4 linked regions of the Arabidopsis thaliana genome follow. The protein of the gene in region 3 interacts with the protein of the main gene of each other region in a pairwise test. Each region holds a gene or a part of one and is shown on either strand. Other genes may lie near its edges.

Evidence for each region.
Region 1: the proteins of PLIM2b (region 3) and NAC028 interact in a two-hybrid assay, tested with the Arabidopsis thaliana proteins (one large-scale study listed by BioGRID).
Region 2: the proteins of PLIM2b (region 3) and AT5G50915 interact in a two-hybrid assay, tested with the Arabidopsis thaliana proteins (one large-scale study listed by BioGRID).
Region 4: the proteins of PLIM2b (region 3) and RMR1 interact in a two-hybrid assay, tested with the Arabidopsis thaliana proteins (one large-scale study listed by BioGRID).

What each region holds. Positions count from the first base shown.
Region 1 is NC_003070.9:24,518,111-24,527,502, forward strand, and holds NAC028 (NAC domain containing protein 28), read right to left. Parts: upstream 6,151-9,392; 5' UTR 5,999-6,150; coding exon 5,842-5,998; intron 4,931-5,841; coding exon 4,653-4,930; intron 4,576-4,652; coding exon 4,243-4,575; intron 4,133-4,242; coding exon 3,761-4,132; intron 3,663-3,760; coding exon 3,572-3,662; intron 3,488-3,571; coding exon 2,823-3,487; 3' UTR 2,558-2,822; downstream 1-2,557. Other genes in the region: AT1G65900 (plant/protein), read right to left, coding at 6-215; AT1G65920 (Regulator of chromosome condensation (RCC1) family with FYVE zinc finger domain-containing protein), read right to left, coding at 7,157-7,244, 7,334-7,695, 7,778-7,924, 8,010-9,392.
Region 2 is NC_003076.8:20,708,300-20,716,056, forward strand, and holds AT5G50915 (basic helix-loop-helix (bHLH) DNA-binding superfamily protein), read right to left. Parts: upstream 4,166-7,757; 5' UTR 3,954-4,165; coding exon 3,624-3,953; intron 3,529-3,623; coding exon 3,403-3,528; intron 3,294-3,402; coding exon 3,228-3,293; intron 3,119-3,227; coding exon 3,050-3,118; intron 2,959-3,049; coding exon 2,875-2,958; intron 2,769-2,874; coding exon 2,658-2,768; coding exon of another isoform or gene 2,637-2,657; exon of another isoform or gene 2,540-2,636; coding exon 2,465-2,539; 3' UTR 2,426-2,464; exon of another isoform or gene 2,292-2,425; 3' UTR 1,804-2,291; downstream 1-1,803. Other genes in the region: AT5G50910 (uncharacterized protein), read right to left, coding at 110-238, 762-983; CLPC1 (CLPC homologue 1), read right to left, coding at 7,411-7,757.
Region 3 is NC_003070.9:280,123-287,058, reverse strand, and holds PLIM2b (GATA type zinc finger transcription factor family protein), read right to left. Parts: upstream 4,299-6,936; 5' UTR 4,141-4,298; coding exon 4,006-4,140; intron 3,928-4,005; coding exon 3,828-3,927; intron 3,746-3,827; coding exon 3,723-3,745; intron 3,616-3,722; coding exon 3,526-3,615; intron 3,247-3,525; coding exon 2,977-3,246; 3' UTR 2,814-2,976; downstream 1-2,813. Other genes in the region: KEA1 (K+ efflux antiporter 1), read right to left, coding at 1-62, 252-342, 436-607, 708-2,278; AT1G01770 (propionyl-CoA carboxylase), read right to left, coding at 4,569-4,575, 4,870-5,300, 5,523-5,621, 5,711-5,750, 5,938-6,170, 6,322-6,402, 6,491-6,610, 6,689-6,879. UniProt on the Arabidopsis thaliana protein: Binds to actin filaments and promotes cross-linking into thick bundles. Has an actin-stabilizing activity. The actin regulatory activities are inhibited by pH > 6.8 but are [Ca(2+)] independent.
Region 4 is NC_003076.8:26,441,847-26,449,807, reverse strand, and holds RMR1 (receptor homology region transmembrane domain ring H2 motif protein 1), read right to left. Parts: upstream 4,723-7,961; 5' UTR 4,611-4,722; coding exon 4,481-4,610; intron 4,395-4,480; coding exon 4,158-4,394; intron 4,013-4,157; coding exon 3,623-4,012; intron 3,202-3,622; coding exon 3,104-3,201; coding exon of another isoform or gene 3,086-3,103; exon of another isoform or gene 3,008-3,085; coding exon 2,930-3,007; 3' UTR 2,375-2,929; downstream 1-2,374. Other genes in the region: AT5G66180 (S-adenosyl-L-methionine-dependent methyltransferases superfamily protein), read right to left, coding at 74-259, 350-440, 524-668, 744-856; STR18 (sulfurtransferase 18), read right to left, coding at 1,222-1,320, 1,410-1,469, 1,562-1,632, 1,711-1,790, 1,874-1,980; AT5G66150 (Glycosyl hydrolase family 38 protein), read left to right, coding at 5,374-5,604, 5,701-5,784, 5,868-5,956, 6,031-6,205, 6,271-6,474, 6,542-6,613, 6,697-6,810, 6,903-7,003 and 5 more. UniProt on the Arabidopsis thaliana protein: Involved in the trafficking of vacuolar proteins. Functions probably as a sorting receptor for protein trafficking to the protein storage vacuole (PSV) by binding the C-terminal vacuolar sorting determinant (VSD) of vacuolar-sorted proteins.

The sequences.
Region 1 (9,392 bases), about 24 Mb from region 3:
AGAACCTGAATAAGGAGATAGCTCTTGCCATCAATGGCGTTTTTGATGACTTTAAAGGTCTGTCCATAATAGATATGGAAATTCGTAGCATCTTCCACCTTTGAAATGATTCCAACCTTTACATTGTTGGAAGCTCCGTTTGATAATCTAGCTACCATGCACCACAATACTAACAATAGTATCAGAGGCCAAGAACTATAAGGCAATGGAGACATTATCACTGTTAATGGTGATGAAGAAAGAAGACAAAATCACAATTAACCCTTTTTGAATTTAGATTGGCTCTTCTTGAATTCACAAGACAAATATCTGTGGGTTTTCCATAGAGGGAGAGAGATAGAGTGGAGAGTGATAGGGAGAAATATTTTATTATTGTTGTTGGCAAAAATAAATAAACTTTTTCTATATGCTAGAATTCTGTTGGAATGTACTTTTTGTTTTTAGTTTGATTTAAGAATAATTGTGGAATTCAGATGGAATATTTGCCTCACTGGACATCCTCACTCAAGTGTAAATGTATATGCAACCACTATTTCACATTCTTCATACATGTGAATACCCTTTTGTATTCATTTTAGTATAGTGTTTATACGGACAATTGATTCATTATCCCTATGTCTCTCCAATTCCTATAGATGGAAGTTCAAACAGATTGAAACTTGTGTCAAGGTTGCAAAAGCATGTGAAAAACAAATAAATGTATAAATTTCTGGTTAATTCCGTTTAAGAAATTTAAAAATCGATCTCAATGCTGTTTATAACACAATGAAATAATTTCTTACCACAACCAAAAAAAAAATTAGAAAAATATAAAAAATATTTGGAAAGTGAGGTTTTGATTGATTGTGAGAACAATAGAGGAGGTGACCCGTGAAGAAAGCACGCGACTATTATTTGATTTGTCACTTTGTGTTTCAATAGTTACCACTTTCGCTTTCTTGTGATTTTCTGTCTACACCCATTACGTATCACCACGTGCATCCCAATCCCCATTACCACAATCTCGACTCCAAGATTTGAGATCGTAAAAGATAACGCAAATTATAATCATTTTAGGGTGTTGTAATTATTGTTAATGATATATACCAACTGTATCATTAATTTTTCTTGAATTTCAAAGGATATGGGAGTTCTTGTTTTCTTTTTTTTTGGTTAAATGGGATTTAAGTTGTAACTTTAAAGTAGGAATAAAGTCAAAGGCTCAAAGCCATATCCATAATATGATACATCTTACCAAGACGCATGAAAATTAATGGATCCATATTTCAACGGAACAATGTTTTAAATAACCTAAACTTTCAAAGAACTTTGTAAATTTCAAAGGATATTGGGAGTTTTTTGTTTTTGGTTGGGATTTATGTTTAAAGTATTTTAAAACGCATGAAATTAGGATCCACATTGAACATCTTTTAAAATAAACCTAAACTTCCGATGAACTTTGTATATTGTAACACTCCAATCCAGCCCATTAAGGCCCAAGTACCCTAAATTATGTCGTTGTGTGTTACTTAAAGTCTCACAAGTCACTTAACGCATCTCAATCTTCAACCCTAAAACAGGCAACGAACCTCAGCCACCACTGTCCATCGTGGTTGAGTTCGACGAAGTTTGTTGTTGTGATCCGATCTGATCCTAATGAAGATGAGGAAGGAAACAGTTTCTGGTAGGGGGAGTGAGATTCAATTGTAGTTATACTTCAGCAAGTAAGGCTAGATGAGAGGTGTCGACATCACCCCTAAAGGTATACCTAGCTGCCAAACTCTTTGATTGCCATGCAAGAATCAACAATATCTATAAAAATCCAGTATGCATAATCATCTTTTGAACTGGTTCTTGTGCTAGAGTTACAAAATCCTAGTTGTACTAGTACCAAACTTTTATGACACTTTTTAGCAGCTTGTTTTCGGTCAAGCTTGAAAACATGATCCATGGAAACATAACATCTATTTTTTTTGTAAATCATAAATTTGTTCATATAAAAGAAGATTTAATTATTAATTGCTAATGACTAAGATATTAAAAATTCAATGTTGAAACGTATCGATATTTGGTATGTTATGAGATATGCATACTCACGACATTGTTAATGTTGCAACGTATCGTAATATGCATATTATGACGGGGCAAGTCCGTCTAGTCCTCTTCACTCAGCGTTAGACACATTCGTTTATTCTATGTTTTGTTTGGGAGAGAATAATGAAGTTTCAATCGCCGATCCATACAAACTATTAAGAGCCAGGAAAGCAAATCTTGGCTCCATGAGATTGGCGAGCTTCTCTGACGCACCTAGATTCTTTTGTAAGAGAGGTTTTTTTCCTCTCTCTATCTTCCATTCACATTTGTTTTAATATTGAAACCGACAGTTTGAACCGTATAGGTTATTCTTAAATATTATCTGTCAAGATTCAAGAACAAAATAGCTCGATAGTAATTTTTGATGATCTATACATTGCAAAACATGGAACAGCAATCGTTATAATAAACAAGTTATTATGAAAATGACTATAAACTTACTCACATATCTATAGTGACTAAAATACTGAAATACAAGATGGCTAAATTGTTAATGTTCGTATAATCTGCTCTTACCGTCTTACGTGCATGCAAACATAATAATAATAATAAAAACCAGACAGAAGACTGATCGTTCAACCCGCGGAGAGATCATATCACTTAATACATAAACAGAAAATAACCAAATCTAGTTTTGTTTAGACGACTTTAGAGAAATGGAAAAAGCAAATGAGAGTAAATACGACCTAGGCAAATGGGAGTACAATAGAAAAGTGAAAAGCCATATATGATATATTGAACCTCAGTATTCAAATAAGACTTATGGTAGAAACAGCTAAGATGATAGCAAGAGAAAGCCCCAACTTCTTCAATACGAAACTATCTTGAAACCGAAAACCTTGTTCGTCAACCATATTTTTCTCTTTCTTCTTCTTCCAAATTTTTCTTCTCACGACAGCATTTTCCATCATGAGTATTGTTCCCCGATTGTTACAATCTCCTCTCGTAGGCTGCCTCGAGTAACCTTCACTGCCTCTGTTTTTGTTAGAGTTACCTCGATGAACACAACGCATCAATAGAAGCATAGGAATGAAGCCAATAACATGCGCGAATTTTCTCCATTGTCCAAGAACTGTTGAGCTTACTCCGTTGATTCGCGGATTTATCTTTTTACGGACATGAACCTCCTCTTTTGATGTCATACTATGACAACACTCATTGCCATCCGTCGGATTTATATAAACTATAACGGTTTGCGATGGTACTATCTGTTGGAAGAATGTGTTGGTTACCTGACGAGTTGTGACAAACAATCCATGGCTAACCTCAACTTTTTTTACCACCTCAAAACATGAGGAACTCGTTGTCTCATGATCGTTCTTGTCCAAAAGATTCTCGTTATGTTCGTTTTCCGAAAACTCGAGTGTGAAAGCATCATCCACATCTCCATTGTTGTTGTTAACGTCCATACCATCTTCAACAACAACAAAACAAAAAAATCAAATCCAGAGATGTCAAGAAAGACAACCAAATGTAGAAATCGCGAAGTGAAAGCTACCTTGATCATGATGTTCTTGTTCTTGATTATCATTATGATATCTCCAAATATCTTCTATAGGAATTACCGTTGAGTGTTCTTCAACGAAGCTCTGAAATTTGTAGAATAAATCAAACATATACTTATATTTGATAACATATATATTAACACATAAAATATTTTGCACTTAACATTGTAAAATATCACTACCTTTTCAAGTTCCTTGCTTGATACTCCTACCCATCTCAAGTTTTCAACAAGTCTTTCTTCCTTAAAATTCACATGGTGTTCTTGCATATCTACAGCCTCCACGTTCGCCTCTAGGCATGAGACTTTTTCTCCGGAATAGTTAAAGTCTCCATGGAAGTTCCCGGAAGCAGAACCACCGTCCCATGAGTCTAGACTGTTTCGTGGCTCATGTGAGGCTTGAGCCAATGCTATAATCTTGCTCAACATTTCATCTGTATCGTTAGCTACATTGTTTCCAAAATATTCATTGTGTGTGAGACCTTCTACGTAAAGTGGTGGTACTGGTGGCAACATACGATTTTGTAGTCTTGCACACTCTAACGCTATATCAACCTATTATATGAGGAGAATTCAATGGATAAGAGATTAGTTTGAAAACAAAAGGTTACATATTCACCAATTTTAATTTTGTATTTCTTTGAGATATATAGTTTAAATTTTACCTTCGAGGGAGGATATGAGATTGTTCCATATTGAGACTGAGGTGGGAAGTTGAAGGACGTGTCATGCGACATAAACTGACTCCATTTATTCTCTATCGTTTCCATATCCGACGACGAATTATTACCGAGTTGAGTTAAGCCTCCTGTCTCAGGTGAGACTGGATACCCCGAGTTTTCGAGGTTTTCATACATTCCATCAGAATACAAACAAGTACTAGAAGTAGATTGTTCACTATTAGTCGTTCCTTTGTTCTTCTTCGTACCATGGTGTTGTTCTTCAATTTTGTTGGCTAAAGCACTCTTCTTAAATACTCGACAAAGTGCATAGGCATCCTGAAATGTTTATACATTGGTTTATATTCAAGTTAAGAATCTTAATCTTTTGATAACCTTTTTAAAAGTTAGCTTACCTGTATACCGGATTTAGAGTCACATTCTTGTTCTTCAAGACGGTACTCGTGCATGACCCAATCGGTACGAGAGCCATGAGGCGCTCTTCCTCGGTAATAAACTAATGTTTTCTTTGTTCCAACCATCCGTGAATGTGAAGTCACTTTACGATCTTTCCCGGTGGCTTTCCAGTAACCTGCTTTGGTCGCCCGGTTTGTTCTTGATCCGTTTGGATATTTCCGGTCTCGAGGACTGAAAAAGAACCATTCTAGGTCTTTACTTGGCAGCAAGGACTTCCCTGCAAGGATCATACAATTAAGATAAATTATATCCAATCTTAATTTGTACACACTACTTAAAGATTCCATAACATGTCATGAGAATCCAAAAGATTAAAAAAGAAAAGACAAATAAAGAGAACATTAGATTGTTTTATATTTAAAACAAAAAGTTGAAGGTGAATGAGAAGCTTCCAAAACCCTAAAGCACATGTGAAATTATTGTGAGTTACTTATTATCTTTTTTTTTCAATCTTCTTACCTTTTTTGACTCGGTCTTCCGAATTTGTCTCACACTAGTCACCACCGCATCTCTCGGTTTTATTACAATCCTTTTAAAGACTAAAGATAAGGGTGGGTCCATTTAAATTTTATTCTAACATAAAGTTGGGATCATAATTATTAAAGATTATTTAGTTGATAAAGCATTCACGTTCGATTCCAAGTTCGATGCGTGACTAGAGATACATAACTTGGTACGTAAAAATGTGAAAATAAAATGGGAATTATATTATGTTAAGGAAAAAGAGGGAAAGAACATCTATCTTCGAAAAAGAAAGGACGTCAAGTGTCTCTTCTCTCAAGGGTTACCCTTTCAAACATTAGTTTCACATTATGTAGTTTTCAGAAAAATGAATCTATTTTTCGTTATTCTTACTAAATTCCAAAAAAAAATGATCTTACACTAAGCATATCAATCAAATGATTATGACATATTAGAAAAGAACCAGATAGAGTCTTCTCCTTCGGTTGCTATGGTATGGTCTCATTTAAAATTTCTTTAACATGAGACACAACATGTTGATGTACTAACGATGCAGAATCATAAATTTATACCTTCGTCCATGGTAAATACTTGCGGATGACCAAAAAAAATGATAGATTTGCATCTTATGAAAAAGAAAAAAAAGAAGCAAAGAGAGAAATATACCAGGTAAATCCCAAGGTTCGCATTTGTAAAGATCAATCTCGGGTATTATCTCTAACTCAATAGTCCGACCATTAATCTTTCGCTTGAGGTAGTATATGACAAGCTCTTCGTCTGTTGGATGAAACCGGAAACCTGGAGGCATTGAAACAGGAGCCATGTCCACTGCCTTATACAAACTTCTTAGCTAGAAACAAATATGAACATTTATAGAACTTAAGAGAGAAAAAGGAGAAGAGGGAGGAGAAGGAGTGAGAATATGAAGAGACAGTTATATAAGAAAGAAGCGTAACATAAGGGTTTGAATTCGATCGATCAGTGATGAAATTGTAAGAAAGACAAAAAGAGATTAAAATTATGTAAAAGAAGCTGGAAAAAGCATTTAGGGTCGGTTGCCAATTGCAAACCCCACAACATATTTTCCACTTTAACTTTTCTTTTTACTTTAATGTGTTTATATATTTCCGTGTAAATTTGATTCTCAGTAACGTTCTTAATAAGCTTTTTCGGTATCATGTTCAATGTTGGAAAACTCACGTTCATTATAATTCATCTAAACATGTTTATTTTTGTTCATCCATGCGTAACGTGTTTATGCATATAGACTAGATATTTGTCAATTTCATTTATCAGTTTTGCTCCTAGTGAAAATATTAAAAGTAACCAATTAAAGACAATTTGATAACTATTTTTGCTTGTAAAAACGGATATATATGTATAAACCTATACTAGTTAATAACTTTTGCTCGTCATATTTTTTGGCATCGACCAACGTAAGGACGTGACATATTTGACATATTTATAAGGAATTTTCAACAACTAGAACTTAATGTAAGGTTTTAAGAAAACATAATAAGTAAACTATTTTTTACGTTGTTAATTTTTGAGATGCTTTCTCACTGTTTTCACACATTTTAAGCCACATTTCATAGTCAATTATTACGTTTTCTATAATATAGAATGAAAGTTTTATATTTGATATACATCATTTTATTTTCTATCTCGTGGTCAATGCCTCAATGGTAATATTGAACCAATCGCATTTTGAAGATAGCATGTTAGATATATTTCTACTTACATTTACATACTATGCAAGTCTTCTTCATTGCTCAAAATCACAAACATTTTTCTTAACTCGCATATATATTTCCTAGATGATCATTAAAATATTTTTATTAATCATATATTGGAATTTTTTTCCCAGTATTTTTTTTTCATTTTTTCTTAAATAAAGAAATTTTTCTGCATTACATATATTCACTAACAAACATCAAAATGAATTAAAATACATTCGAAGAAGTAAACTCAAAAGTTAGTTTCATATTTCAGCATCATACTTGTTATAGACCAAAACCTGCTTCTCTTCCCACCATCTTTGTGCTTCCTTCTCTGAAAACCTCTTCCGACTGCAACCAAAGTTAGAAACCAATCATATAAATACTTAAGCGTACTTCAAACTATATAAACACTTAAAAGCACATTAACATTTTTTTACCTAAACCGTACGCGTTTAAGCGTCTTCTGACCGCAAGGCAAGGCCGTGAAAGTTATATATACACCGGGCTCGTATTGCTCAACTTGTTCTGCTGACGAGTCTTGTGTTTCGTTTTGGAGATACCCTGTTCTTGTGATGGCTGGCGATGCATCTACTAATAGCTTAATGTTGCTGTCACGGTTCGAGGATTTCGTGACACATTTCTCTACATGTTGTTTGGTTTCGTGTTGTGAACGAGCTGTGGTGATTGGTGTGAGGTATGGAATGGACATTGAGTCATCAAAGATTGGTGAGACTTGAGAAGGATTGCATGCAATGCCGGTCTTCAGAGGATTACTCGGTTTCTCTTTATTCGCTTGGAGCTGCAAGCAAAGATACCGTGAAAATGTCGGTCACATAACAAACCAAAAACAGAAAGATTAAAAAAAACTATGTATCTTTTACCTTCGATGCCAAGGCTTTTATTATCTCTTTAGCAGCTTTCGATTTCTCTGCTTCTTCTTTAGCAACTTCCCATGTCTTGTCGAGCTCTTGTTGACATTCTTCCATCTTCTCATTGCCAAGTTCACACTGCCTCTGGAGATTTTTTATCTACATGTTCATAAAAATGTATCTTTAGTGTCTAATGTGTTACTATTGTTACAGGTAAGAAAACAAAAAGAAGTAGTTTAATTACCACGGCTTTTAGCCTTTCGATTTCTTCGGTTAAGATCTTATTCGACTCAGACGAGGTTGAAATCTTCGTTGAAGATGTTCGCCTTGCTGAGACTGAAAGATTCAAAGAAGAACTTGTCGAAATCTTATCGAAACGAAACAGAGAAGGACCAGAGACTTGTCCCCATCGAGGCTGTCCATCCGAAGATCGATTAGCTTGTGGAAGATTCTGCATCTCATTCTCTGATTGTTTTTCTGTCAAATCCTCAGATACTCTTCGTGTAACCATCTGCATCCTCGGAGTGTGATTATCCATCTTAACATTTCTTGAAAACTCTGTTATACTCCATAGATGATCAAAGCAAGAATCGCAAACCCGAGAAAGCTTGCTTTTATTCGGTGCTAACGAAGCATTTACCGCTTTCTTGCTACTACATGCATTGCAAAACAATAGACCACAGTTGTAACAGTTATGCTTTCTCCTTGTGAATCCAAAAGCTGATTTGCAAGAACTACAAGCGGTTTGATCATTCAAAGAGATCTCTTTGTGTAAACAGATCGCAGCCGTCAAATTCAACCCGCAAGCTATACTTTCTACCAACCTATCACCTAAAGGCTCAACAAGAACAGGAGAGTTTCTATCTCTAACGTCACCTAAACCAAGTTGTCCATTCATGCCTTTTCCCCAAGTATAAACATTTCCAAATGAAGTTAGAACAGCTACATGATGTGAACCTGAAGCAATATCCTTGACAAATTGTCGTGTTAGATTGCCTAAAACAACATTTACCGACTTATCCTTTGCCCGCGGACATCCTAACTGTCCGTGGATCGAGCTTCCCATTGTATAAACCGTTCCTGAAATGCTTAAAGCAACAGTTAAAGTCCATCCACAAGAGACTTTTATGAAATCATGATCAATGAGTTCAGTAACACAAGTTGGCACAAGCTTTCTCTTGCTATCAGCATGTCCTAACCGTCCTTTATCGCCATCTCCCCAAGTAAACAGCTTTCCACAACTCTTGGCGTTGTAGAATTTCCGGTCGTTCGCGGTTTCCACTATAGCAGCCGTGTGCCACGGTCCACAAGAGACAGATATGACCTTCATGCGTCTCAAAGACTCAACTTCTTTCGGCTTTGTAACACTCTCAAGACTCCCATGTCCAAGAACTCCAAAAGTTCCACTACCATAAGTGAAAAGCTGACCAGAACTAGTCACAATTGCCGTGTGCCACGCGCCACAAGCAACACTTAAAACAGTCAAAGATCCGCCAAGAACATCGGATATCTTCCGAGTCAAGAACTGGCTTCCTGACTGTTCAATGGTTCCACCATCAATTCCCCATAAATACAGCTCACCAGATTCCGTAACAGCACACGTTTGATGATCACTACAAGCCACTGA
Region 2 (7,757 bases), on a different chromosome or scaffold from region 3:
GTTATAACAAAGAGTCAAAGACTATCGGTAAAATATATAAGAGTAGCTACTAGCTAGTTAAGGTTTGTTTGGTACTCAATTCTTATGGGCCTATAAGTAAACTGAAATATTAGTCTTTGTTGCTCATTGTTGTTAATGGGCTTTCTAAAGTGTGTGCTTGGTCTACTTTCTTGATAACCCAACTGATAAAGACTGAACCTGCTTCTAAACCAGTAACAATAGTTGGTCGACTAGTATACTGATAGAAAATAATAATTTTAAGCTTAAATATGACCTAGTATCAGTGTTTCTTCAACTTCAAAACTTTTGATGATGTTATTTTGGTTAATAAGGTTGTATTTTCTAGAACTACTACGTCATTATATATCTATACGTATTTACATTTTCATCGTCCTATAGAGTTTACTTGTTCACTTACCATTCACTACTTTGAGAGGGATAGAAGAATGGCAATTTCAACAGCCATCTTGGCTAGCTACTATCTTTATAGTTTTTGTAATGGAAGAATGATTCATGTACACGTGGAAATGAAGTTAGGTACATGAAAACAAACAAAGAAAAAGAGTGTAATAGAAGAGATGGGACTAGACATAGACATGAAAATCTCTGGACGACTAACGGCCGGACTGCTCATTTAATCATGCCTTCGAATTGTTGCTTTTTTTTTTTTTTTGGCTGTATTAGTTGTGTAATAATGTACAACATTTTTTCTCACCTAGGCGTGTTATCAAATTGAATCGTGGACCCTTCGGTTAACTTACCAATCGTTCTCGCATAAAACGTGTCATCAGATATTTAGGGTTTGATTTTGATAGGTTTGATGATGCGAAGAATCGAAACGCACAGTTAAAGTTATAAGAGGTATACTTTGAAATAAACATATGAGGTGAAATGATGTGCATAAGATTTACGAAATGTGTTGTCCATTGATTCAGGATGAAACCGTTAGCAGATACAATTATGTGCCACGAGAAACTTAGCATTTCCTTTGTTATTGTATTTTATGATTGATCAATTTGCCGTATAATAACTTGGGACCAAATTCATATGCATTTTCGATTAAAAAAAAAAAAAAAAATCGTATTCATGACGAAACAATTGCAAGAAAATGATGACCCAATTCATCTAGCAACATATCATATTTATAATAATAAAAAAGGGAAAAAGTGAAAATTTTGAACCATAGTCCAATAACAAATCTTAGAAGAGATGATATCAATTAAATTTTACTTATTTAACTAAAATCTCAAATTGTTGAATTGTGAAGAGTAATCTCACAAATCATATACATCCTGACATATACATCAAGAAATGAAAATCATACAAAAAAATCTCTATTCTAGGTTCGTTAATAAAAGAGGTTATTAATATGTATGTAACTGAATAACGATAATATACATAAGGCTCTTGCATATAATTTATTTAGGTGTATTCAAATAAATCCTGCAATTTAGGATTGAATAACTCAAGGAATCGTTAATTACCACCTCATGAAAATGTTAGACAACCAACAAATCATATTTACAAATACAACAGTATCAAATATCTCTTTCAAGAATTTTGGTATATATATATTAGACATACTCTAAACTAAAATAAAACTTATAACATATGTATTGTGAAAGGACAGATACAGAGGAATGGGAGTTATCAATGTGTGACAAGTGAGAGCAGAAAAGCATGACCAAACTATTCAACAGGTACATTAAAGTGTTCTCAGGAAGGGAAATCTAATCTTTTCTTCTGACATAATTTTGTAGCCAACTAAATTGACAGGAAACGAATCATTTAGATTTATATACATGCATAAGTAGTTATCCCTCGAACATTTTTATATATATAGGAAATATAACATGAGTGTGTGGATAACAGTTTACATTTAAAAAGATTGGAGGAAAAAGGAAACTTTGGTGCAAGAAATCAGAAAGACAGAAGTGGTGAAAATACAAGAACTTATAAAATTAATGAGTGGATACATCAAAATTCAATTATATTAAAAAAAACAATGATTAAGCTGATAGGTCTTCTTAGTTTATATGTCTTTCTTTCCTCCATCGAATTTGCCTCTGCCTCATATACCATTCTCTTTTAGTATGAATTTATCCATTGATTTTATGTAATGATTATGTTGAAACTCTCGGGACAAATAGAGAAAATGAGCTTTTTAAGTCTCTAAAATACTTTATTTCTTCAAACTATATAAACGGAACAAATAAGTACATCCACTTTTACAAAACCTGGTTTACGTAGATTTTATTCCCTCCGTGCAAATGGGAGGAGATTAAATCAACCTACATCCAATAAACGATAGCAATAATTACGAACCCACATCAAGATTTTTAACAATTTCTATATGAGAAATGTTAAAAATAATTGTAATGATAATAATTAGGTAGTTGAAGAGACAAGACCAGAAGAAACTCACGAAAGCAGGCTTTTGTGTTTGTGTCGACATGTAATTTTATCAAGGGAAAGAACAGAAGTTGTTGTTGTTGAACCCACTTCTGTCTACAAAGTTCTCTCTTTCTTCTCCCTCTTCCTAAATTAAGCAACACATCACTATCTATTAATCTTCCAATAATTGATTCTTATCTATCTTCATTCTCCTTATTATAATTATTATCTGAAATAATCACTTATAGAAAAAAATGAAAAACCTGAACTTGTGCATGTGTGGGAACTACAGAATTATCCAATAGTGAAGGAAAGATAGGAGTAGTTGTTGGCATTGCATTGGTAAAAGACGTTCCTACTTCTGGAGAACCCATCTGTCCATCAAGAAAATATCTACTTAAGATCCATAACCGGCTTTTCGGGATACATGACTTGGTTTTATCGGTAACCGGATTAAGAGACATTGTGTAAATGAAATACCTCAGATTGAAGTATGAGGCCATCAAGGTCGGAGCCAAAGTCATAGACCACCGGACTTATAGAAGTTAGCTTCATTGAGAGAAACTAATGAAACAGAAAAAAAAGTTATGAATTAGAAACATTAGTTTTAACATAAAATGTTACAAGAAAAAACAAAATAATTAAGAAAATGCACCTCAACTTGAGTCTGCAAGGTCTGGACATAATTTATAATCTCATCCAACATGAGGGCCTTCCCTGTTACCTATTCGTTTTCAAGTCACATTTAATCAATTAATAACATTTTCTAGAAACATTATAAAATTAAACCATTATCAATTCTCCTAAATAAAATTGTCTCTACTCTAGCTGACCTTATCACAGCCCGGAACAAGGTTTTGCAGAGTCCTCATCCGCTCACTTATCTTTTCCCTTCTCACCTTTACATATATATATATATAAGTTTAATCAAATATTAATCAAAATGTATTTTATGAAAACATGATTAATGAAGAAAAATTAAAATGTTAAGAGAAATGACTAAAATACCCTCTCAGCAAGGCTGTGGCTATCAGTAGCTTGGCCTCTTCTAGCTCGAACGTGAATGTAATCTGTTGGAGGCTCTTCTTTGCTTCCTCTCTTCTGTTTTTTGCTTTTTCTTCCCTCTACTCCTTCCTAATTCACCAAACCACACCAACATTTATGTTTTTGACTATCCCAACCCCATCACATAAATGATAGATGATACATTACAAGTTGGTTTAACATACCTTGGAGTTATTACTGTTTCTGGCCTTCCTCCCACGGGTTTTTCCGGTGTTGGTGATGGCTGATGGTCCGTGGCTGAGCTGGTCGCAGGAAGAAGAACCGGTGGTTGCTGTTTTGGTTGTGTTGGCCAGTTTCTCTGAACCAGAGTTTTCAGTTTTGTCAACATTATATTCAAGAAAGGAAATGTCTTCAACTGTGGAAATGTTTGGTAGTGGATAGAGATGGTTTTGATCGATGAAACTAGTGAGATTAATGGAGGAGTGAGGTGTAGGGAAGAGAAGAGGATCAAGAAGGGAATGAGGGTAGTTTTGGAAATAAGAGAAAGTTGCCATTTTAAGAGTAGAAGCTTCTGAGTTCTCTTATCTTTGTCGATAGAGATAGTGTTTTTTCTTTGTGAGAGAAGATTAAGGACTTGAAGTGGTTTATATAAGGAATTGCTTTTGTATTCACTATTCAAAGAAACAAGGAGAAACAGAAGAAAGAGTATTTTAGGGACCACTTGTATATTGAAGATACCTTTTTATTTGAGAAGAAATTACTACCATATTTCGGCGGGTAATTTATGTTAGATGATATGTTTATATATAATATCGAGATTGTATATTTAAGTAATTGCATTGAGTAACCATGGAAGAGTAAAAATGAAAATTTAAGTAAATAATGTTGAATTTCAAAAATTAGGTGACTAATGATCTTTCATCATTCTTAGATACGTATGTTCTCTTTTTTTTTTTTTTTCAAATGCAAACTCATGGAATATTTGTCTATTTATTTTGTTTAGTTTTATTACTCTATGGGTATCATGATATTTTAGAAAATTTGTTTCAAATTACTTTATGTAAGAACTTATAATTTTAAATTTTGTTGTAATTTGTATTCTCCATAGTTTTATGTTATTTAGAGAATAAATTATGTTTTGAAATATAAGATTATAAATACTACATAATTTGTAATACAACCATGTTGTAAAACTAAACAAGACAAATACTGATCAATATATCATTTAATTAAGACTTTTTTTATAAGAATATAATAGCGCATAACGTGAAAACAATAAATGTACTATAAAAAGAAGTAATCAACTAAACCCATTAAATGAACGAAAGAACGACCAACGTGGGCAGTCGAACTCGAGGAAAATGTTCTCTAAAACCAATTGATGTATTTGTATTGACCATCAACTACACTCACGTAAGCATTCAATATTGTCGCCCTAACAACGAACTATATTTAGAAATGCCCTAAAGCTATGGCTTGTTTTACTTTATAAGAGGGTCGGACCTATAATACACATATCAAAAAAGTTAATGTACACCAAAAGAGCAATATTTATCATTTATCAATCAATTTTACTTTATCAGATTGCAGAACCTTTGCCACAGCTAATATATAGATCAATATATAGGCACAGTTTAACGAGTCAGATATAATTAAAGACTAGATAGTAGAGAGATATATTACCCTATCCAAAATACTGTACATTTAGAACTAAATATGTAATGCCGCGTGATCTTCTCAATAATAATCTCTATGTGGATACCATAATACTACAAACTTTTGTCCATTTTTGTTAGAGAAAATAAAAACTTTTGTCCATTTCCCACTTTGGATCGACATAGGAAATTTCCTTTTCAGAAAAGGACAAAAGAAAAAAAATTGTGAATAAGGTGTGAAGTCCAATCCCATGATACCGTTGGGTATGCATAGAAGACAAAAAATCATAAATCTCCATTTTGTTTTGATATAATCGGGTACTCTTATAGTAATAATCGAAAAAACGAGTACTTGACCATCAAAATTTATCACAATCCATGTCCTTAATTATTTAGACTATTATAATTCCTTTCTTCTATTTATAAATTATTATTATGACACGTACTTAACAAAAACATTAAGCGAATCTACGATTAATTAATTATCAATTGTATACGTACGAATACGATCTATGGACTTTCTATTATGATTTTCTTTTTGAGATCAAGTTTAGAGCAGAAAGAAAACATGCTAATTAGGAACCAAGAAAACATTATGATTGTTCTTTTGGACATAATTTACATGTCAAAGGTCCGCATGAGCTTGTAATTAATTATCATAACCCGAAGATGATAGAGATTATGCACGTTTCATCCGGATGAGGAATAAACATTTATTGGCATCATATTTTCTTCACCAATATCTCTCTTTTGCTTCTTTTCAAATCAGGGTACTTGCACAAAACCTTTATTCTTTATCTAACGCATTTAATTAGCGGCTGATCTATTATTTGTACTGTGTTTTGAATATTCAAGATCACATTTAAAGAAAAGAATAAGTGCACGAGACTAATTACGAAAGGATGATATGAAAATGAATCTTGAATTACGAGATAGATTAGGTACATTACTTCACTCTAAGAAATTGACTCAAAGTTTTCTTCTACCATCCTATATCCCAAAACATTACTTACAAATGCAAAGAAACAACTTCCATTTTACGGCGTTTTCTGGCCGATAAGTCTAGTGAATTATGTGACGATTGTAAGATATATGAAGTAAGTTAGGTTGATCTCATAACTGTTATAGATCTCTATTAATCACTTCGTTTATTTAGCTTAATCTCATTATATTTGTTATTCAAATATGTTGCATCTCTATATGTTTTCTTCTCTATTATCAAAACAGTTTTATGTCCTTCTACCATATTATTTCCATTTTGTTTAGTGAAGTATTGATTTTCTCTACTAAGAAGAATACAAATAAATCAACCTGGCAATAGACTAATTAACGTACGGTTACGTCTACGAAATAGATATTCATAGAAGTCTCTATCCGCATGATACGAGAGATAACCTTTTACTCACATATCATCGCCTACAATGCAATAAAATAGTAACAAAGAGAAAAAAATTCTAATTAAAAATTGATGAGTTTTGTGATGGTACGACTCTCCTTTTGTTTTTTATCTATTCAATTTACGAATCTATGCAAAATCTCCGAAGATTTAATAGTACCTGTGCAAACTGGCACTAGCTATGTTCCAATATGTGACATCGCTTTCTTCTACACTAATACCAAATTCAACATGAAACGTTTTATCTTAATCCTATGTTATATCAATTTCAGTGTTCCTTATTATATTTAAAGGAACTCAAAGATATTACGTCAAAATGTAATTAGATTATTATAAGTTTTTATATGGTTTTACAAGGTTTGTAAAGTCTTATATACAGACTATAAAGTGATTTTTTTGAAAAGCTTTTCTCTTAATAGTAGTTTTGAAAAGCAGTATCATATTTTTCAAAATTCCTATTGTTTATTCACGGATAACCTAATGATGTGTAGATTAGGTTAAAAATGTGGACAATATGAAGAACATTCAAAGAATTAGTTCATGTGAGCTTTTGTTGGTTTAGGATTTGGTAGTAGCTAGTCGGTTCCATATGCTTTTATTGGTTTTCTTCAATTCTCTTACTTCTTCACGTCATATATTTGACCTTGTTATGTTTGATTGATTCCATGTGTATTATCCTACACTTTAGTTTATTTTTTGGGTTATGAAATCCTAAACTCTTTTGACGTCGAACCCCAACATAAAAACTCCTCTTTGCATGGGCACCAAAGACAAGTCCTTAAAAAGCATGGAAGAAAAAGAAGCTACACAATGTCATCTATACATTACATTTTTCATATATTTAGAAAATGTATATTAAGAAAGCCCCCATGTATCTCAATTCATAACCTTCTCTTGCCATAATTCATTTAAGGGCCAAAGCAAAAGAAGAGAGAAACGCACGCACTTTGCTTTTTTTATTTAAGCAACAGGGAGAGAATCTTCCTGCTCCTCCAAGGAAGTAGTTGGAGTGCCACTTCCACCATTTAGCACCGTGACGTTACCTTCAGCGTCAACGTCCACAATCACCGAGTCTCCTTCTTTGATCTCTCTCGCAAGCATCTTCTCTGCCATACTATCCTCTAAAAGCCTCATGATGGCTCTTCTCAACGGTCTTGCTCCATAGCTCGGGTTATAACCTTCGTCTACTACTCTCTCTTTGAATCTTTCGGTCACCTGAAGCTCAATCTCTTTCTTCTTCAACCTCTCGAACACTTCCTTCAACAGTATGTCAGCAATTTCTTTCACTTCCAGCTTTGTTAGCTGTC
Region 3 (6,936 bases):
TATCGAAAGACCATACGGACCAATCAGAATTCCAGCTGCCAAATACCCAAGAACAGGGCTGCCTATACATTGCAGCAGATGAAGCCATCAAGATGGCACATAAATCTCTATGCAACATGATTGCGAGACCAGAACTGAAAATGTTTTTGACTGATGAGAACATAGAAATTGTAGGAGTTTGAGGGAAAGGGGAAACAAATAGTAATGCAATGGATAGAATTAACAAAAGAAGAAAAAAAAATACTACTTACCTCCAGGAATTTTCTGAAATAGAGGCACAAATATGACGCTTGCTAGCAGTAACCACAAAAAGTCAAAGAGGGAAGCTTCTTCCTCATTGACCTATTAATTGCAGAAAGTTTCAGCCTGCAAAGTACATTCCATACAATTTGCACTTCGTAAAAGAAAAAAAAAAACAAGAACAATTGTTCATACCTCCTGGTGAGGGATCATCTCAAGTAGTTTCTTAATTCTCTTGGGAAGTTTCTGCACTTGCCGGATCAGTGGCTTCGTACTTGAAGAGACATCTTCTGTACTAGTGCTGGTAACATCTGGCTGTTGAAGCAACTGGTTGTTCCCCCCTACTCCATTGGAGTATAATGTCAGTCTGGAACGAATAAGAAGCTCGTATCAACAAAAAGAGAACTTTCTGTACAAAAATGATTCTTCAAAACTCGAAGCAAAGAAGAGTAAATTTTCAAACTGACCCTGCTCCAAGAAGAGCAAGCCCAAGAACTAGTTTGGGCCATTGCTGTTTGACAGAACCAACCAGACTACCAAACACTGTCGCGGTCCCATCTGGATTAGAAGAGAAGAAAGATGCAGAAAAGAAACGGGAGGATTTATTAAACGATGCCTTGGGAGAATTAAGAGAGGAACCCTCCTTTGGCAGATCTTTTTGAGTTTCCTGTTTTTTTGTCTGAACATTAATCTTTGGCTTTTCAGAATCTGCTTCAACCACTTTAGAAGACTCTACACTTGGCTTTCCATTCTCATGATCGCTTGACTCATAAGGCTGAGTTAGTTTTTTATTCCTCTGACCAACTATATCAGGCACAAGTTCAGCTGTGATCTGTACCACTGGTAGATCTCCATCTTTAGGTGATTCTTTTTCAACCTGATGGGTAACATCTTCAACGTTACCTGAAAGTACCATCGCATCCTCCTGAGAAGTTTCTTCATCCGAGAGTTGGCCCTGAGTTTCCTCTGGGGTCTGAGAAATGGAGAGAGACTTCTCTGCTCTCTGTAAAGCAATCTCTGCATCATTAACGCGTTGAGTAGCCTCAAGCTCAAATGCTACAGCTTGTTCAGCCAATTTCATAATATTGGTAACATCCTCCTCGGCTTTCAACGAACTGATCTGTATTGTCTCAGCGAACTCATTCAACTTGTCCACTTCCTTTTGCAGCTCGTCTTTTTTGCTCAGCAAAGCACTCAGTTGGGACTCACAATTATCTAAATTAACTTGGCATTCTTTAATATCATCCTTGGCAGCTAAAAGAGCTTCTTCTTTATCATTAACATCTATTGTTTCCTCAGTCTCTTCAGACACATGTGGAATATCATTCCCTGCACCAGCTTCAAGTGATTCCACTATAACCTGAAGCCTAGCTTCAGCCAGAGACAGGGCCATAGTAGCCGTTTGAACAGCTTCTTTAGCAAGAGCCTCCTCATAAACAGTATCTCGAATGACATCAAGGGTTTTGTTTACGTCAAGCCAAGCAGTAGCAGCTTCATCCTTGAGTGCTATGGCTCTTTCTGAGATTCTCTGAGCCTTTTCCTCAAACATGGTACTATTGAGCCTAGCAACTTCCAATTCTTTAATTGCCTTGTGTAGTAACTCCTTGAGTTCCTCCAAACTATCAGTGTCGTTTTCCACTCTCGCATCTTTCAAATCTGTAGCTTCAGTTTCATCACTACTTTCGGAAGATTCCCCGATCCGATGATCATTACTATCGGCATTACCCAGAGATTCATGACCCTGACAACGTAACCTAAATCCAAAAGGGATTCTTTTGGCTTGGTGGCCATTGCCAAGTATTGATTTTGTAGAATGCAAATGACCACTATAAAACCTTCCAGAGAAACACGCATTCATCAAATTCAATGTACCACTTTGTGCTACATTTCTCCTCAATCGAAAACACGAATGCACTTTAGAATCCCCAGATGTAATGCTGATTCCTTTAGGACTTATCAATCGATTTGGAAAGCAGTAACTCGCACCATCTCCACCATGGAATAGAATCGGCCTTTGAAAAGTAGACGCATACTCCATATCGGAAATCAAATAAAAAAAGTAGCCTTACTTTATTCCTCGAACCTTATATACAACTCCTGTGAAGCAAAACGAAATTCCACACATTCAGACGACCAAGATAAAAAAAATCAACGACAAGCCACGGACAGATAGAGAGGCTAACCAATCATGGAAAGTTGAGTAAGAATGGAAGAAAGGTGGAAACGGAAAGGAGTGGCTCTCGTCTTCAATTCCGTTCGTTTCAAACAGATAATTTTGGCTCGTCTCTTCAAATTTTCCCAGTCAAACAACTTTCTCTGTCTCCTCCTTTTTGAGTTTCTCGCCAACCAGACATCATTGCTAAGGCCGTTTTTAGATACTTTTACGAAAACACCCTCTCTCACCTAACGAAATAATGAATGATTCACATCACCCGATAACCACTTGGTTTGATCCGGTATATAAGTAGTTTGGTATCTTTGAACCGAACAGATATTACATCGAATATCATCATCACCATCGGAAAGCATATCATAAGCAGCACACATAGAGTGAAAAAACATCAATTCTTGCCTTTTTTTCGTGTGTAATAATAAATGTATAACGAATGAATTAAAAAAATAACAAAAAAAATCATGTCTTCATATGGAAACAACTCATTACAAATGAAATCAAATCTTTCCCCCGCAACAACATTCATTCAATCATTCACTCAAAAACACTCATGTAAGAGATATTCAAGACTCTGAAACGCCATTCTCTTCCTTGGCCTCCACGGCGACGTCTTCGGTAGGTTCCGGTGGAAGAGTGTTGCCTGAGGCTGTGCGACGGTGATTGGCGGCTTGGAGGACGTGAGCGTAGTTTCCTTTCTCCATGAAGAGTTGGTTAAAGTGATGTCGGCAATAGAGAACGCTATCTAAGGAGGCGTAGGAGGAGTGAGTCAGCGTACACCCACCGTGAGCGCACCGGAAACATGTCTTGTGGAAGCATTCTCCTTCCATTTGTATCTGTTACCAAATAACCCGATTAGAACCAAGCCAAAATTGATTCCACATTTGCTTGGACCAACCAACATCACGTTCTCAAATCGAACCAAAAGTATACTAAACCAAACCAAAATCAAAATTTTATTTCCATTTGATCTAGTAATGATTTTATCCGAACAGAAAAATTCTACGGAAATGAAAAAACAAAAAACAAATTCTAGAGCAAATAAATTTCTCTACGAGACTAGTTCGTTGGTATTTTAGGCCATGAGAACATTTGCAGATGCGTATACCACTAACCTTTTCAAGAGGGTAAACAGTTTTTTCGCAAGCGGCACACTTGTCTTGTGTTCCACAGAAGATGGAAGATATCTTGCTGGGAGTCCTAGTCTGTAATGTTTAAATCAGTACACAGATCCTATTAGTCGATCATAAAAGAAAGAAAATGAAATATTGACACGCTAATCATATACAAGGACATGTAATGATGAACCTACCAGCTCTGGCTTCTCAGTTTTTCCTGAGAAAAGAAAGAGACTTGTTATGATCATGATGATTTGAAAGATAGAGAGATTCGATGTCAGAGATTTTATAATACGAACCTGGTTGAAAGTTTTTGCTGAAATTGCCAGATTCCTTGAAGAGTTGCTCAAAATGAGTCTTGCAGTACAAAACTCCGTCCATGGAGGAATAGTTGCTCATCTGCCATCAACACATAGATAAATTGTTGATATAATATGATCATAGAAGATCTAACAAGAAAATGAGTAATGAGTGCACCTGAAGGGTTCCTTTGCAATGGGTACACCTGAAGCAAGACTTGTGGTAAGGCATTCCTTCAATGGACAACATGTCCACCACATAGACTGTCTTATCACAAACATTGCATTTGTCGAGAGTTCCTGTGAAAGACATTTTTTTTGTTTTATCTTTTTTTTTTTTGGTTTTTTTTTGGTTGTTGTTGTTTCCTTCCTTCTCCAAGATCCTGTATGAAACAGATTTTTTAATTTTTTTTCCAACAAATCAAGAGGTCATCTGAGGAATTAGTTAAAGAAGGAAACCTTTACCTCAGACAACGGAGGAACCTGCGAAATTTCTGTCCTCTTTTATATGAAACTTTGTTGCAATTGTGAGGTTGTAACGGAGGAAGGTTTTTTCCTTTTTTTCTTTCTCTCTCTCTCTCTCTCTCTCTTTGATCTTTTTTGCAAAATGAATGAGATAAAATTGGGTGGCAAAGTGATTGGAGTTGAGCAAAAGAAGGGTTGTGGTTTCTGACAATTTCAATCCAATAAGGGATTGTTACTTTAAGCCAACTGTCTCTGAGGTGGTGCAACCCATGTCAGTCAGATCCTGCAAAAGAATATAACAACAACCTAACATTACACAAATATATAATATCATTCTCTCTCAATCAAAACAATGCTTTTAATACTTATCTGTATGCGTATCTATCAAGATATCCAGTTGTAAATTAAAGTAATTTTAATGTATAGAAGTAAAAGAAAGTGAAGCACCACTAAGTCGATTCCTTCTTTTTCTATTATCTTTTAGAACTATAGTGTAGTTCAAGTCTCCCTTTTTATTAACATATTACCACAGAATTTGAATAGAAAAATCTGATATGCAAAGTTAAAGTAGTCTTACAACACAACTTGTTGACACAAGATGAGATCTGAGATTGTCTTTCCGTGTCGGTCGATCCTCCTGGAACAGTTGACTCCACCATCTAATATGTTCCGTACGACAACATTCATAGCATGAATGCCTTCAACGTCATATATCTCTACTGACACATTTTCATCCATTGGTTTTGCATCCAATTCCAGAAACGAAGAGGTTGATAACAGAACTGACATCACATGCTTTACCCATTGAGGAGTAATTATGAGTTTCAGACGCTCGACATCTGGGGAATAATGCGGGATTATTGAGAAGTTTATGTCGTTTCCTTTATCGCCAGCCCGGCTATGTGCAACAGAGTAGAGTGGGATCTTTTGGCCAGATGGAGCAGGAGAGTGATGAAATCCAGATTGATAGCCTCTCATTGTAAGGTTCTTTGGATTTTCCTTAGGTAACTACAAATGGAAGTAATAACAAGGTGTTAATACAAATGCACATGTTAGAGTTCTTTCACATTTTCAGCTTTCAAATAGTAAAACATATCTATCAGTCATCAGAGTTAGTTTGATGTTCGAACACACTAGGATTGATTCACCAAGGAATTTGAATTCAGGTCATGTTTATTTCCATTATCTATCAGTCATCACAATTAGTTTAGTAAGAACTCTCGAGCTAACCTTTGGCATTTTCTCTGGAGAATGATGTTCAGAGGTCTCTGGCTCTGAAGTGTTGGTGTGCTGAAGTCCAGTTTTCCACATTACAGATTCACGGCTGACCTGGATAACCAAACATATAACATCAGAATCCGTAAAATTGATTGATGCAAGGCTATATTAGTTTAAATTTTTTGATGGAGACGACCTACCAAACGCTTTTCAAGAACAATTTCCATCTTGTGTCCGGTACTGCATATAATTTACAAGCAGTTTTGTCAAACCAAAAAGACCACCCCGAATCTCATAACAAATAACTAGTTTCAATACATTGTCCCTAGTCATAAGATGTCTCAACTCAACAGGATTTGGTACTACTGTAAAGCTACAATTAGCATTGGATTGATATATGGAGCGAACATCAACGTGAAGAAATTACCTAATTCCACCACCACCAGCTGGTCCGTTTGTATATAGAGCAGTAAACTCTTTTGTTAACTGGACCGCATGTTCCTTCAGTTTAAAAAGACCATCCATACGTAATCTAATATCTCCACATGACTGCCAAGATTCAGTGCCGTTGCTTGTCGCCTTCAAGCTATCAACCCCAATCACATAAGAAAGAATACAATGGTTAACACCAGGAATGGTTTCTTCCATCCAAGATCGAACCTGAAAGAAAGAAGGAAAAAACACAAGTAAAATACGTACATACACTTGATAAGAAATGAACTCCAATTTAAGGCACCATAAGGAGTCATTTCAAGCGACGATGGGGCCAAAAAATGCTACTACATCATAGACATATTAATCATAGGCGCACCAGAAACTCTGAAGCTTTAGCACGTTGTATAGAACCATTTCCTCCATAAGATATCTCTCCCCACCCTTTCCAACCACACTCCTGCAAAGAAAATACGAATTATAGAACCAAACATAGGTTGCTCTTTAGCATCAATCAAATACCACCAGCATTTTCTATGGATAACAACCTTTGGAATTAACCGCAAGAGTTTCTCAGGCACAGAAGTGTTAGAAGATGGTTTTGCTCCACTGCATTGTACTTTGCAGTCTGACAGGGGAAGGAAAGAAACACCTCGAATATCGATTACCTGCAAAGAAGGTTTTCAAATCAAATATTTCCGCCGTTTTTACAGTTATTTCTTCTAGATTTTGTACAGCTAACTTACCACATCAGGTGTAATGTAGGCACTAGGGTCAGCAATTTCATACAGAAGTTGCTCGGCGCAAGTACTGGTATTTAAAATTCCACCACTACCTTCAACCTTTGATACACATACTTTACCATCATAGCCAATCTCTGCATAAGGAAGTGACAAATCCTGGAGAAGAGGGAAAGCCATGTCTCTATACTGATCACCTAAAGAACATTGAGGAACGAAATGACCATACTGATAATGGAAAACAGTAGTTCATC
Region 4 (7,961 bases), on a different chromosome or scaffold from region 3:
AGCTCATCAGCAAAGTTAGGAAAAGCTTAAAGGAACATATTGTTTTGACGATGTTGAAGTGTTGCTGCTCTACATGGTAGGTTTCTGGTTGGTGGGACTGAGAAAGTGGTTCCATCAGCAAGAAAAAGCCGGCTCCTTTCAGCAAGCCCATACTTTAGAAGCATAGTTCTGCAGGCAGCAAGACGATGCCTTGCAACATCGACACCGGTGGCAGTACCCTTCTGACCCAGTAGGTCAAGCATCATACATAGTTTAGCACCTGAGAGTATTATTATTCCCTCTAAAGCAGTTACAAGGACGAATTGACACACTAAGGAAACCAAATCAGCTGATCAATGTAAAAAAATACCAGGAGCAGCACAAAGATCCAAGACATGGTCTCCTGGGGAGATACCAAGAGCTGAGACAGCGGCACCGGAAGCTGCATCGATTCCGTACATCTGAAACCCGAAGAAAGAACAAGTGAGGTTAAGAAAAACCGAATGAGCGAGAGGAGAGTTGGTATTTGATTGCTCTCTCTCACCATGCCTTGCTGATAGGCCTTGGTTCTGGCTATATGAACATCTGGAGGGATGGAGTAAAATCCTGGTAACCAATTCACCTTCTCCAGTTTACAGTTAATTTCGGATTCAATCTCTTCGAAAGCATCCTCGAATCCAGGTTTCAACCTTCAAACGGACCTCTCCGGTTTCAATGCCAAATTCAGAAATTTTGAGAAAAGCAAAGGAGGGGTCTCAAGTTACCTTACATAACGTGGAATTGAATCTCCGTGAGTATAGATTGAAGGATCAAGGCCATTCGCCTCTAGAAAGCTAAGGAAACTCTCCGGTAACTGTAGCTTGGACGTTTCTTCCATGAGAAACCCGAGAGAGAGAGAGAGAGAAGTGTTCGGTCGGAAAATTAATTAAGTCGGAGAATCGCCGGGCGAGAACAGAGAAGATAAGGGCTTAGGCTGAAGCCCAAAGCCTTTTTGTATGTATACTCAAAAAGCCCAAACGTTTTGACCGATGAAACAAACAAAGGCTTGTTACTTAGTTTTTACACTTTTACTTGTTCATCTTTTTTTTTTTGGTTTTCACTTATAGAGAAACACAGCTTTTATTGAATTTGGTACACGAAAGTTTTGATTACAAGAAACTGGAATTTTAAATTGAAAATGATTACTACATCACACAGGCAGTTATATTATTTGATTAAGAAAAGAAGAGAATCTTAAGATTATTAATTAGCAGATGGCTCCTCCTCCTCCGTGTTGATGGGAAAGCTGTGATCCACCCAAGCCAAGTAGCCACCTCCCACGTTTCTCACTTTCTTGTAACCCTATTTTTTTATGTATATATGAATTGATTCTTTGAGATTAAACACACAAGTAGGAGTAAATTATGTATGTAAACTAGGGACTATTATACACTTACTGCAGCAACAAGTTCAGTTGTGGCTTTTAAGGATCTGGCTCCACTCTGACAACCCTGTTTGTATCAATATCATTTTCCAGATTTTATCATCGTTTTCACCGGCAGATTTTAATTCTTGTGGGTGTGATGAGGAAGAAAAGAGTTACCACAAGGATATCATCAGCTGGGTTTAGAAGAGAAGATACTTGCTCCAAGAACTCTTGATTCTTCACTCTACCTAAGAGTAGAGATCACAAGGCTTTAACTCATGTACTGGTTGATATCTCTAATTAAAGGTGATTGATATTTGATTTACCTTGAGGTGTGTTGAGCATGTAGGGAATGTTGACGATCTTAGCTGCCTCACAATGGCCTCTCCTAAACTCGTCCTGAGTCCTGCCATGTGCAAGGATTTTTCATTAACAACCGCAGCAGCTGGTACATGCATGGTGATATGATAGAATAGATCAGAAGCTCACCTAACGTCAAGATATTGATGCCCAGACTGGAGGAGAGTCTTGGCTTGGCTCACATCTACACTAACAACTTCTTCTGCCTTTGTGCTGGAGGAGATTGATTGAGACATCTTCTTCTCTACCTCTTCTTGTCAAACAAAAAGATGAAGAAGCTTCAGGAAGAGAGCAGAGAGTAATAAATAGGACCAAACACAATAATATTGTTTTAATATTGTTCTATCTTCCACTTATACACATGCATGGCCAATATAAAAATAATGGTATATGATTCAACAATTAGAAATTTGTTTCCAATTCCATACGCAAGTAAATGAAATCTACAATAAAGAATATAAGATAATAGTCTTCTTAGACAGCTATGGTAAGATAGGCCCCAAAGCCTGCATAGAAAACGTGTTCACTGATTAGAGATGAGAAGGAAATGTTGGCTGAATTTAGTAATCAAAAGAAGTTGAGTATGTAATAGAAAGTTTTGGTGATGGAATTGCGCAACTAACAAACCCATGAACGAGTCATCGTATTGGATGAGTCGTTAGGTAGAGATGAGGATGACGTGTTCTTTTCTTATTATTACTACAGACAAGACAAAATCAAAGCCACGTTCAATGGATTCCATTCCCCCATGTAAGGGAATCAGATTCAATATTCATATTATACAAACTTTAGGCAAAGAAATTATCAACAAGATAACATTAGAGATTTGCCTGGATCGGAGAGAGAAAATCTGATTAGACCAACATTTGTTTTCTATCAATTTGTTTGCATATCTGTACTATCACACACATTTTTTCAATCTATAACACACACACACACACAATGATCAAATGTACACATGACTCAGAGCGTATGTAAATGTACACATGCAAAGAAAAAGAGGCAAAGCAACTCATATCTTTTTGATCTGGGAATCCAGCAAAGCACGACCAGTATGGCAGATCCGGTCCCTTTACCTAAACTTATCCCACCATGATTAACCATTCAATATAAGATGCAAACCTGGACCTGATCCAGGTAACCGAGCACTGATATGAGTGTTCAGCTGCTAAGCCGATAATAACTCTAACGGCTTTGACTGGATTGGGCAAAGGCAAATCTACTCGTACTTGTATCTGTTCTCGGACTCTCTCGTTTATGTACCTGCAACAAAACAACACAAACAGTGTATTGAACCCAACGCAAAAACAACAAAATAACTACTGAAAGGATTTATACATTTCAGTCTAACAGGATCACCTCAGAAGACATAGTCTCGGTTCTTATGTCATGCTTGCACACAGGGCAAGATGTACCCCATTTTGTCAACCAAGAGTCGATGCAATTCAAGTGAAAAGCTGCATAAGAGCTTCAAATCAACCAACTGCTATGAATTACCCCCACTTACATAAACTAAAAAAGGTCAAATCTTTAATTTATTCTTCTGATGTACATATTCGACCCATCATATCATTCGAAGCAATGAGTAATACCAAAAAGTTCGCATTCGGTGCTTACCTATCAAACTGGAATTGACAGAAACGGAATATATTGTACCTTCAACCCTAAAACAGAGGAATTTATGCTAGAAAGAAATCTATTTTATAAAGTTAGAATCTAAGAGAAACCTATCAAAGTCTTCCTAGAATAGTAAGCACATGTTTCAATCCTGTGAAGGGAAGATCTGTGTCTCATAAATATACATTTCCAAGACCTCAATGAACACATTAAGGGTGGCAAGTTGCCAGTTTATTTCCACAGAAGAATAGGAGTAAGTACCATGTTGGCAGGGGAGAAGTCTGAGGCTTTCTCCAAATCTGTAATCCTCGAGACATATAGCACATGTTTCCCCGGCCTTGTGGTGAGCAGAATCAGTGAAGGTGAAGCAGGGGAGTGTGTGGACGAGCTTTGCATCTAACCTGATGGTCCTGGTGTGCCTCCCTCGCCATTGGGTCCAGTGTCTGGGTGCAAAGAAGGCAATCAACAGGAAAGTGACTATAAGAAGGAGAGAGAAGAAGGAGATGGCCAACACAGTCCAAGCGCTCCCTCTGTCTGGCGGATTAAGGCAGCATTCACCATCTCGGCCTCTCGCGTACTTTCTCAAAATCTCACCGGCGACATTTGAAACGAAGACTGCATCAACTGTAATGTCCTGAGGGTTCACCTTCACTGTGCAAAACAGATGTTGGTCAATCTCCAAACTTATGGGGGCGTTGACTAAATTAAATAACTCCAATGAAATTCAGCTCAACCCTAGCTCATCAGGAGAAGAAAAGATGGAATTTTAAACTTGGGTGGGAGGCAAAAGGCTTACTGACGATGAGATCTTCGTTGTCAATGTTGTCATAGACAATCACAGCTTGAAAACCTGAGTTCTGGGCATTGAGCAGCTTATCCTCAAAAGAACATTCGCCTCTGATTATCAAAGCGAACTTAGTAGTTCTGTGTTGCGTCCAGTTGGATGCGGCGGCGTGGAGAAGCGGTGAGCAACCGTCGAGAGGATCTGCGACGTATAGAGCTCCACAGATTCCGTTTTTGGTCACGGAGCCGTCTGAGAATCAAAATCAACTTCTTTTTAACCAGATTGTTCGAGAAATTGTTTCGGATAAGGAAAAAGGAAGAGGGGGAGAAATTGACCAAATTTGGCTGGGAGATCGGCAAAAGAGGCGGAGATGGAATTGAGGACAACAGTGGCGAGTGAGACTCGTAACAGAGAGGAGAGAAAAGGAGCTGCAACTAGTAGACAGCTTGAGACGACGAGTCTCATCTCTCTCTCTTTTCGCTTTCTCGGTCGATCGATGGCTTTTCAGTTTCAGGCTGTCGCCGAAATGCATTGGTTTCTTCACCAGAGAGAACCTTCTACTCGTCTCAGAGGCTTTAAAGATTAGTTCGTTAATTTATATTTTATATACGGAATAAAAACGACGACGTACAAACAAAGCCTCCTTTGCAAGCAAACAACCCCCAAGTCAAATGAAGAGAACAAAACAGTTGCAATGATGTAAATGACTTGTTGTTGAGATTTTTATACTAAAATGTTACTAGCTCAAAGATTTGCTTCTATTCTCTGTAAAGACGTGGTTTAATTATCTCTATATTGATTGATTTGTGTATTATCAAAGAAAGGGAGATTTTTTCCCAAAACTATTTGTTAAATAAAATTAAAGAAAAGGTAAATGACTATTGTCAAAACTCAAAACAGATCAACTTCAATTTTAATGTTGACATCAAAGTAGAAGAAAAAAAGATTTAATAAAGTACTATTTTAGGGTCAAGATTTTAATTAAATTTGTAGGAAAATAAGATTATTGTAGAACCTAATTAATTATTACATATGGTGAAATGACAATCTAGTCACAGTAAAACAATAGAGAGACTCTAACAAAGACCGACGGATCTGAGCAAAAACAAACGATAAGGATTTGGTCTTTTGTTATGACCCTTGTTTTGCTCTCTCTCCATTTTCTTGTTATAAGTTTCCTCCACACCCTGTAAGAAAGAAAAACATCTGAAAACTCTGCCATCGGAAAATGGAGAAACCGGGTATGTCTTTATTGAAAGGATCACTTTGTGTTATTGTTTTTCTTCTTCTGTTGTCGTTGGTTGAGAGCGTCAAAGGCGGGGGATACGTGAAGTATGGAACCGAAGCTAAAGTGGTTCCGGGGAAACTAAATGTTCATCTTGTTCCGCATTCGCATGACGATGTCGGCTGGTTGAAAACTGTTGATCAGTACTACGTAGGATCTAACAACAGAATCCAGGTATGTTATCTACAGATGAATGATGAATCATATATATGTATGTATGTAGAGACGAGTCTAACGTACTATATATCCCAAATGAATTGTGAGTTTCAGAACGCTTGCGTGAGGAACGTCCTAGACTCGGTGGTGGATTCTCTACTTCGTGATCCCAATAGAAAGTTTGTGTTTGCGGAAATGGTAAAACATTAATAATGGTTTTGTTCATAAAACCATAATATATGTTTTCTTCTCTTATGTGAACATCAATGTACATGAAAAAGGCCTTCTTTACGCGTTGGTGGGAAGAACAAAGCCCCGAGAGACAAGAGCAAGTGAGGAGACTAGTGAAATCCGGGCAACTAGAGTTTGTGTAAGTAGGTCACGACCTTAATTTTATCATTTTGGCTACCTAGCGTTGATACAATTCACACAATCAATGTGCAGAAATGGAGGATGGGCTATGAATGATGAAGCAACGTGCCATTACATAGATATGATAGACCAAACCACAAAGGGGCATCGGTTTATAAAGCAACAGTTCAACACAACTCCACGTGCTGCTTGGCAAATCGATCCCTTTGGTCATTCCTCTGTTCAAGCTTACCTCCTTGGAGCAGAGGTCCCTTCTAATCTATTTATTTCTTTATTTCCTTATGAGTGTGTTTTAATTTGGTGGGGGTGCAGTTAGGGTTGGATTCTGTGCATTTCGCGAGAATCGATTACCAAGACAGAGAAAAGCGAAAGGCCGAGAAATCACTTGAAGTCATCTGGAGAGGATCAAAAACACTGGATTCTTCTTCTCAGATATTCACCAATATCTTCTTTGTTCATTACGGCCCTCCCACTGGCTTTCACTATGAAGTCACCGACGATTACGTACCCCTCCAGGTTCGCTTCTTCTTTCTCCCGTTTGGTTTTTGGTTTAGGGGAATTCGGTTCACTCGTCATTTTGCAGGACAACCCTCGTTTCGATGGCTATAACATTAAGGAGGCGGTTAATGATTTCGTCAATGCTTCTCTTGTTTATGTAAGTCTTGAGTAGTATTTTTTTTTTTTTCAAGTGTGTGTGTAATCTTGGATTAATTCTGAAAGTAGTCAATGTGGACATAGGCTAATGTGAGTCGAGGGAACCATGTGATGTGGACAATGGGCGATGATTTTCAGTACCAGTTCGCCGAGTCTTGGTTCAGACAGATGGACAGACTTATCCATTATGTTAACAAGGTTTTCATATCTCTTGCTTGCTGTGATTGCTCAATATCAATCTCGCTGTCTTTGGAGACTAGATTCTCATCACCAATAATTCCATTCAACAGGATGGCCGTGTGAACGCCTTGTACTCCACACCATCTCTCTATGTTGATGCCAAGAATGTTGCCAATGTTACTTGGCCTCTCAAGACTCATGACTTTTTCCCGTGAGTGCCTTTAGTACTGTCACCAAATAAATTTACATATTCCTTTTGTTCAACAACTTGATTTTCTCAATAGTCAATAATTTCCCCCTACTCTCTGCAGATATGCGGATCGGGCATACGCTTACTGGACTGGCTACTTCACCAGCCGTCCTGCTCTTAAACGATATGTTCGGGCTCTTAGCGGATACTACATGGTATCAAACTGCATCTTACGGAGTCCGATTTCCCATTTTCTTAGTGAAATTCAAAATGAATTTACATGGCCTTGCATTTGTCTGTTTTTTTTCCAAAACAGGCTGCAAGGCAACTTGAATTTCTGGTGGGCAAGAACTCTGGAGGTCCAAACACTTACAGTCTTGGGGATGCTTTAGGGATAGCGCAGCACCATGATGCTGTCACTGGAACTGCCAAGCAGCATGTAACAAATGATTACATGAAACGCCTTGCTCTTGGTGCTTCTGAGGTAAGATACTATATATGAAAACTCTTTTCTTTTTTGTCTTTTTTCTTATATCAGTAATCATCTAATTATTCCGTAGGCAGAAGCTGTGGTGAATTCTGCGCTGGCATGCCTAATGAACAAAGCACCAAAAGGTGGCTGCACAAAGCCTGCAATAGCATTCAGCCAGGTTAAATCTCCAAGAAACTCATTTTGGATTTCATTTTTTTTACAGAAATGTGATTGAAGAATCCCTTTCATGGTGATGACTAGTGTGGGAGTTATTTCTTTCCTCTATTTAGAGTAAACGATTATTGTGTGTCTCTATATAGTAATCACCTGGTTTATATATTCTTTCTTGGAATCAAATCAGCAGTGCTCGTTGATGAATATCAGCTATTGCCCATCGACAGAAGAAACCCTTCCAGGCCAGAAGAGCTTGGTAATTCCATCACATCTCTCATCAATCATTATGATATAGCTCAGATTCTCCAACTATCTCAGTGTTTGATCTTCAGA